Macaca fascicularis: one gene and its partner. The protein of the gene in region 1 binds, or shares a complex with, the protein of each later gene. Links are inferred from orthologs where the notes say so. Each region holds a gene or a part of one and is shown on either strand. Other genes may lie near its edges.

Evidence for each region. The genes of interacting proteins can lie anywhere in the genome.
Region 2: the proteins of MICALL1 (region 1) and EHD1 are in contact, whole or in part, in an NMR structure (PDB 2KSP), measured with the Homo sapiens proteins. The link is inferred for Macaca fascicularis from reciprocal best matches to the Homo sapiens genes MICALL1 and EHD1. Residues at the interface, in NP_203744.1 of Homo sapiens: Lys422, Tyr424, Asn425, Pro426, Phe427, Glu428, Glu429; in NP_001269373.1 of Homo sapiens: Gly464, Ala467, Lys468, Met471, Asn478, Leu481, Gly482, Trp485, Lys486, Lys492, Asp493, Gly494.

What each region holds. Positions count from the first base shown.
Region 1 is NC_088384.1:13,681,251-13,684,601, forward strand, and holds part of MICALL1 (MICAL-like protein 1), read right to left. Parts: intron 2,019-3,351; coding exon 1,904-2,018; intron 1,346-1,903; coding exon 1,299-1,345; intron 1-1,298. UniProt on the Homo sapiens protein: Lipid-binding protein with higher affinity for phosphatidic acid, a lipid enriched in recycling endosome membranes. On endosome membranes, acts as a downstream effector of Rab proteins recruiting cytosolic proteins to regulate membrane tubulation.
Region 2 is NC_088388.1:9,524,011-9,528,118, forward strand, and holds part of EHD1 (EH domain-containing protein 1), read left to right. Parts: intron 1-2,970; coding exon 2,971-3,383; intron 3,384-4,108. UniProt on the Homo sapiens protein: ATP- and membrane-binding protein that controls membrane reorganization/tubulation upon ATP hydrolysis. In vitro causes vesiculation of endocytic membranes. Acts in early endocytic membrane fusion and membrane trafficking of recycling endosomes.

The DNA of each region.
Region 1 (3,351 bases):
CAGGCATGAGCCACCGCACCCAGCCTAGAATCTGGGAATTCTGAAGCATGGCATTCATTTATCTTTTTCTTTTTTTATCTTTTTCTTTTTTTTTTTGAGACGGAGTCTCGCCCTGTCGCCCAGGCTGGAGTGCAGTGGCCAGATTTCAGCTCACTGCAAGCTCTGCCTCCCGGGTTTATGCCATTCTCCTGCCTCAGCCTCCCGAGTAGCTGGGACTATAGGCACCCGCCACCTCGCCCAGCTAGTTTTTTTTTTTTTTGTATTTTTTAGTAGAGACAGGGTTTCACCGTGTTAGCCAGGATGGTCTCGATCTCCTGACCTCATGATCCGCCCGTCTCAGCCTCCCAAAGTGCTCGGATTACAAGCTTGAGCCACCGTGCCCAGCCTTTTTTTTTTTTTTTTTGAGACAGAGTCTCTGTCGCCCAGGCTTGAGTGCAATGGTGCGGCCTCAGCTCACTGCAAACTCTGCCGCCTGGTTCAAGAAATTCTCCTGCCTCAGCCTCCCAAGTAGGTGGGACTACAGAAGTGTGCCACCACACCCAGCTAATTTTTGTGTTTTTAGTAGAGATGGGGTTTCACCATGTTGGGCCAGCCTGGTCTCAAACTTCTGACCTCAGGCGATGAGCCCGCCTCAGCCTCCTAAAGTGCTAGGATTACAGGCATGAGCCACTGTGCCCGGCCCCATTTATCTTTTTTTTTTTTTTTTTTTTTTTTCTGAGACGCAGTCTTGCTCTGTCACCCACACTGGAGTGCAGTGGCACGATCTCAGCTCACTGCAAGCTCCGCCTCCTGGGTTCACGCCATTCTCCTGCCTCAGCCTCCCGAGTAGCTGGGACTACAGAGGCCCGCCACCACGCCTGGCTAATTTCTTGTACTTTTAATAGAGATGGGGTTTCACTGTGTTAGCCAGGATGATCTCGATCTCCTGTCCAGTACTCTTTTAACTGTTCCAAGCACCACTTGGTCCCCAGGAAGCATTGCTGTTTGGGCCCACAGACTCCAACAAAACCAGCTGCAGATCTCAAGGGGGAATGCACAGCTGAGGACAAATCCACAGTCGTCTCTGTGGGCATCAGGGCATCCCACGGCTACCCTCCAAGCCTAAGCCACAGCCTTCCTGGCTGTAGGCTGGCCTCTCTTGCTACACACAGCCCTCTCCGCAAAACAGAGGCTGCGGAGTTTGTGCACAGCCATCCTGGTAGTGCCCACTCCAATCCTCCCTTCAACCAATCCCTCCCTTCCACCCCCAATGCTGAAGTTCAACTGGGCACCAGCCTCATCCCCAGCAAGGGCCTCACCTTTCTTCTTGATCATGGCTTCCAACATCTTGTCTTCCTCTTCCTCCCTGAAATAAGCAGCAGCAGTTAGGCTGGGCACGGTGGCTCACGCCTGTAATCCCAGCACTTTGGGAAGCCAAGGTGGATCATCTGAGGTCAGGAGTTCGAGATCAGCCTGGCCAACATGGTGAAACCCTGTCTCTACTAAAAATACAAAAAGTAGCTGGATGTAGTGGCTCATGCCTGTAATCCCAGCTACTCGAGAGGCAGAAGTAGGAGATTTGCTTGAACCTGGGAGGCAGAGGTTGTAGTGATCTAAGGTTATGCCATTGCACTCCAGCCTGGGCAATAAGAGCGAAACGCTGTCTCAAAAAAAAAAAAAAAAAAAAAAAAAAATTAAAACGGCAGCAGCTGAGAGTCCCACAGGAGGAAGGAGCAGATGCCCTCTCTGTCCACACAGGGCTGAGCAAGGGTGTACTGGGATCGCTGGTAGGAGGGCAGGGCTGGCCTGGCCCGAGGTGTGGACTGTGTCTTTGGCTCTCCAGGGAGCTGCCCCACCCATGGGGCCATGGGCCTGATCTGCTCTGGCCCTGTCTCCCAGGAGCCCCCACCCCTGGCCATGTCACCTCTGCCGGTCCTCATCCAGGCAGTTGACGATAGCGTTGCGCTGCTCAATGAGGGTCACAAGCTCCTGCATCAGCACCTTCTCCCGGGCCCGGTCCTCCTCCGTCCAGTCCTTTTCTGCCAAGGGAGAAAATTTAGGGGGCATGAGTGTAGGAAAGCCCTCTTCCTCCCCAGGCTGCCAGGAGCCACTGCCTAAGTGCTGCAGGCCAGCCCCGTGCTAAATATCATGCTAGATACTAACAGCGCAGAAAGGAAGGGCCCCGATAGGTGGGGCTTACAAGTTCTTGGGAAAAGAAGGTTGTTGACAGAAGAGACCAAGGGCACCAGGCTGCCTACCAAAGAGTCTGCAAAAGGCCCCAGCAGGGCCAGCAGAGCACATGCTGCAAGAACAGGGCGGCACCAAGAGTCTCAAGCTTATGTTCATTCATCCATTCAACAAATGTTCACTAGGTGGCTTCTGGCGGGAGGCAAGATTCAGGAGGGACAGAGTGGGGCAGGGGACAGGAGACAACAGGGAACCCCAAGGCTCCTCCAGCAGGAGAAGCAACATGACCCAAGTGACATACTGGGACATTTATCCAAGGCTGTGGAGGAAGGTAGACTAGAGGGGATGCTGGGGGCAGGGAGCCCAGCAGAAGGCTCCCCTGAAGCCAGGCACACCTGCTGCCCCTCCAGCCTCCTCTCCTCTCAAGGCCCCAGCCAACCCACAGGACCACCCCGAGGGGCCCACCAGAGCCCTAGTATTTCCCCCTCCCCCAGCCTGCAGGCTCCAGGGATGAGTGCCTATACTTGGCCTTCCCTCCACAACATCTACCGCCACAGGCTTCCCTGCCTTCAAATAAATATCCTAGGCCGGGCCCGATGACTCATGCCTGTAATCCCAGCACTTTGGGAGGCCGAGGCAAGTGGATCACCGGAGGTCTGGAGCTCGAGACCAGCCTGGTCAAATGGTGAAACCTCATCCTACTAAAAATACAAAAATAAGCTAGGCGTGGTGGTACACATCTGAAATCCCAGATACTAGGGAGGCTGAGGCAGGAGAATTGCTTGAACCCAGGAGGTAGAGGTTGTAGTGAGCTCAGATCATGCCACTGCACTCCAGCCTGAGCAACAGAGCAAGACTCTGTCTCAAAAATAAATAAATAAATAAATAAATAAATAAATAAATATCCTTAGCCAGGTGTGGTGGTGGGCGCCTGTAATCCCAGCTACTGGGGAGGCTGAGGCAGGAGAATCACTTGAACCCGGGAGGCGGAGGTTGCAGTGAGCTGAGTTCACGCCATTGCACTTCAGCCTGGGTGTCACAGTGACACTCCATCTCAAAAAAACGAATAGGCCAGGTGCAGTGGCTCACGCCTATAATCCCAGCACCTTGGGAGGCTGAGGCAGGCAGATCACGTGGTCAGGAGATCGAGACCATCGTGGCTAACACGATGAAACCCTGTCTCTA
Region 2 (4,108 bases), on another chromosome or scaffold:
AGAGGCCTAGTTGTCATGTAGGATTTAAATTAAACCGCTGTTACAGAGACCCAAAAATCATTGGTTTAAGTCAGATAGCCGATAGTTTATGTGAAAAACAACAGTCCAAGGCCATTCTGAACATGCAGCTTTCATCTCTGAACCCAAGGTGCTTCCTCCAGCTCCTCCCATCACATCAGCGTCCCAGTCCTCAGGAGGGAGAAAACAACAAAGGGCTCATGCTCCTTTCCTTGTTCATTTCTGCTGAAGGAAGCTGGGAAGTGCAATCTCAAGCTGGGAGGCCATGAATCCAGCTGAAACTAGATAGTTATTTCTGGTTCCTTCCTTTAGGAGGAATTTCAGTTAGCAGTCTCTGCCACAGGCGACAGAGTTTGCTTTAATTGGCGGGCCTTAATTGGGCCATAATGGGTTGGTGGGAAGCAATCTAGAATAGAGTTTAGAATCCAGACATGGTGGCTCAGGCCTGTCATCCCAACACTTTGGGAGGCCAAGTCAGGAGGATCTCTTAGAGCCCAGGAGTTCAGCATAGACATAATGCTGAACATACCTACAAAAATAAAAATTTAAAAATTAGCCAGACATGGTGGCACATGCCTGTAGTCTCAGCTACTCAGGAGTCTAAGGTGGGAGGATGGCTTGAGCTCAGGAGTTCAAGGTTCAGTGAGCCAGGATTGTGCCACTGCACTCCAGCCTGGGTGACAGAGCAAGACCCTGTCTCTAAAAAAAAGAATATAATTTTTTTAAAAAAAGAATATAGAGCCTAAAGCTGGAGTCTATCCAGTCCAACCACTTTGTTTTGGAGAAGTATTTAAGACCTAGGAAGGGAAGTGGTTTGTGGCATTTCCTGGGCTTCTTGTAGAGCAGAGGTCAGCAAACTTTTTCTGTAAGGATCGGATAGTTAATACTTCCAGCTTTGCAGACCTTTCACAGCTTTGCAGTTTCTATCATAACGACTGAACTCTGCTGTGTTAGACAAAAGAAGCCATGGATAATACAAATGAGCATGGCTGTGTTTCAATAAAACTTTATTTATACAAACAGGTGGTGGGCCAGGTTTGATTCCTGAGCTGTAGTTTGCCAACCCTTGTTGCAGAAAATAAGTGAGATTCCTGCAAAATGGGGAGCCTGGCACATCAGCACTGAACAAGGAGCAGCTGCAGTTACTGTTGCAGGCACGTCTTGTCACTGCCTTCCCAGGGCACACAGCTGGCAGGTGGCAACACTGGAGTCTATGTTCTACCATCTGTGCTGTGCTGAGCACAGTGCTGGGTCTCCTCACTCTCGCCCTCGTCTGACCCACCTTAAGAGCTTGCACTATGGGACGACTTTTGCATTAGCACCTGTTTATGCCAAGTGCTACATGGGTTGGGAGTGTTATGGTGGGGGCAGGAATAGGGGAGATAATCCTGCCCTCAGGGTGCTGTACTGTCTAGATGAGCACCTTCTAGGAATTTTTTTTTTTTTTTTGAGACAGAGTCTCGCTCTGTCACACAGGCTGGAGTGCAGTGGCGTGATCTCGGCTCACTGCAACCTCTGCCTCCCAGGTTCAAGCAATTCTCCTGCCTCAGCCTCCTGAGTAGCTAGGACTACAGGCATGCGCCACCACGCCCAGCTTTTTTTTTTTTTTTTTTTTGGAGATGGAGCCTCGCACTGTCGCCCAGGCTGGAGTGCAGTGGCGTGATCTCAGCTCACTGCAGCCTCTGCCGCCCAGGTTCAAGCAATTCTCCTGCCTCAGCCTCTCGAGTAACTGGGATTACAGGTGCCTACCACCACGCCAGGCTAATTTTTATATTTTTAGTAGAGATGGGATTTCACTATGTTGGCCAGGCTGGTCTTGAACTCCTGACCTTGTGATCCACCCACCTTGGCTTCCAAAGTGTTGGGATTACAGGTGTGAGCCACTGTGCCTGGCCTTTTCTTTTTTCTTTTCTTTTCTTTTTTTTTTTTTTTTTTTTTTTTTTTTGAGACGGAGTCTGGCTTTGTCGCCCAGGCTGGAGTGCAGTGGCCGGATCTCAGCTCACTGCAAGCTCCGCCTCCCGGGTTCACACCATTCTCCGGCCTCAGCCTCCCGAGTAGCTGGGACTACAGGCGCCCGCCACCTCGCCCGGCTAGTTTTTTGTATTTCTTAATAGAGACGGGGTTTCACCGTGTTAGCCAGGATGGTTTCGATCTCCTGACCTCGTGATCCGCCCATCTCGGCCTCCCAAAGTGCTGGGATTACAGGCTTGAGCCACCGCGCCCGGCCTTTTTTTCTTTTTTTTTTTTTTTGTGTGACAGTTTCTCTCTTCTTGCCCAGGCTGGAGTGCAGTGGCATGGTCTTGGCTCACTGCACTCCTGAGTTCAAGCGATTCTCCTCTCTCAGCCTCCCAAGTAGCTGGGATTACAGGTGCCCACCACCACGCCTGGCTAATTTTTGTATTCTCAGTAGAGATGGGGCTTCACCATGTTGGTCAGGCTGGTCTCGAACTCCTGGCCTCAGGTGATCTACCCACCTCAGCCTCCCAAAATGCTGGGATTACAGGCTTGAGCCACTGTGCCTGGCCCCTTCTAGGACTTTTATTTTATTTTATTTAGAGATGGAGTCTTGCTCTGTTGCACAGGCTGGAGTGCAGTGGTGCGATCTCAGCTCACCACAACTTCCTCCTCCTGGGTTCAAGTGATTCTCCTGCCTCAGCCTCCCAAGTAGGCTAGGACTACAGGCTCGTACCACCAGGCATGGCTAATTTATGTATTTTTAGTGGAGACAGGGTTTCGCTATGTTGGCCAGGCTGGTCTCAAACTCATGACCTTGTGATCTTCCCACCTTGGCCTCCCAAAGTGTTGGGATTACAGGCGTGAGCCACTGCACCCGGCCTGTAGGAATTTTAAAAACTATCTCTGGCTGAGAAATACCAGGCCAGGTTGGAGATGAGAGCCATCAGAGCAGCAGGTCCCTTGGCACCCCTGAGCTCTCCCTTCTCTTCCCCGCAGGCTATGACTTTGCAGCCGTCCTGGAGTGGTTCGCCGAGCGTGTGGACCGCATCATCCTGCTCTTCGACGCCCACAAGCTGGACATCTCCGATGAGTTCTCAGAAGTGATCAAGGCCCTGAAGAACCATGAGGACAAGATCCGCGTGGTGCTAAACAAGGCAGACCAGATCGAGACACAGCAGCTGATGCGGGTGTATGGGGCCCTCATGTGGTCCCTGGGCAAGATCATCAACACCCCCGAGGTGGTCAGGGTCTACATCGGCTCCTTCTGGTCCCACCCGCTCCTCATCCCTGACAACCGCAAGCTCTTTGAGGCTGAGGAGCAGGACCTCTTCAAGGACATCCAGTCTCTGCCCCGAAACGCCGCCCTCAGGAAGCTCAATGACCTGATCAAGCGGGCACGGCTGGCCAAGGTAGACCCCAGGGTGAGGGGAGCAGCCTATTGCCAGGCAGGGCCGTGGGGCTCTGAGATAGGCACTCAGGGCCCCGGGATTGCCCGAGACCCATCCCAGCTCACTGCACAGGCGGACCTGTGCTGCGCTGTTTCCCTCTGCAGAAACCAGTCTTTGGTCAGCACCCGCGTGCAGCCTGCTCTTAACTAAGATTCTCCACCCGGCCTCCCTCTAAACCTGTTGTGTGTGTGGTTTATGCCCCATCTACTTTCAAGAAGGGTTTGACTATGCTTACAACACAGAAACAGCACACAGGAAGTTACCGCTGAAGCAAAGGAGGCAGCCTCAGAAATGGGGTGTTGGGGGATAGAGCTCTGAGGCTTGTTGGCTTCCCTCTAGGGTTTTTTGTTTTTGTTTTTGAGGCGGAGTCTGGCTCTGTTGCCCAAGCTGGAGTGCAGTGGCATGATCTCAGCTCATAGCAACCTGCACCTCCCAGGTTCGAATGATTCTCCTACCTTAGCCTCCCGAGTAGCTGGGATCACAGGCACACACCACTATGCCCAGCTAATTTTTGTATTTTTAGTAGAGGCAGGGTTTCACCATGTTGGCCAGGCTGGTCTCAAACTCCTGACCTCAGGTGATCAGCCCACCTCAGCCTCCCACAGGATTACCCCTCTGGGGTTTACTGGGCCTGAAGTGCACTCAGCACAGTGCTGGACGCCAGGGACATGGCGGGGAGTGACACA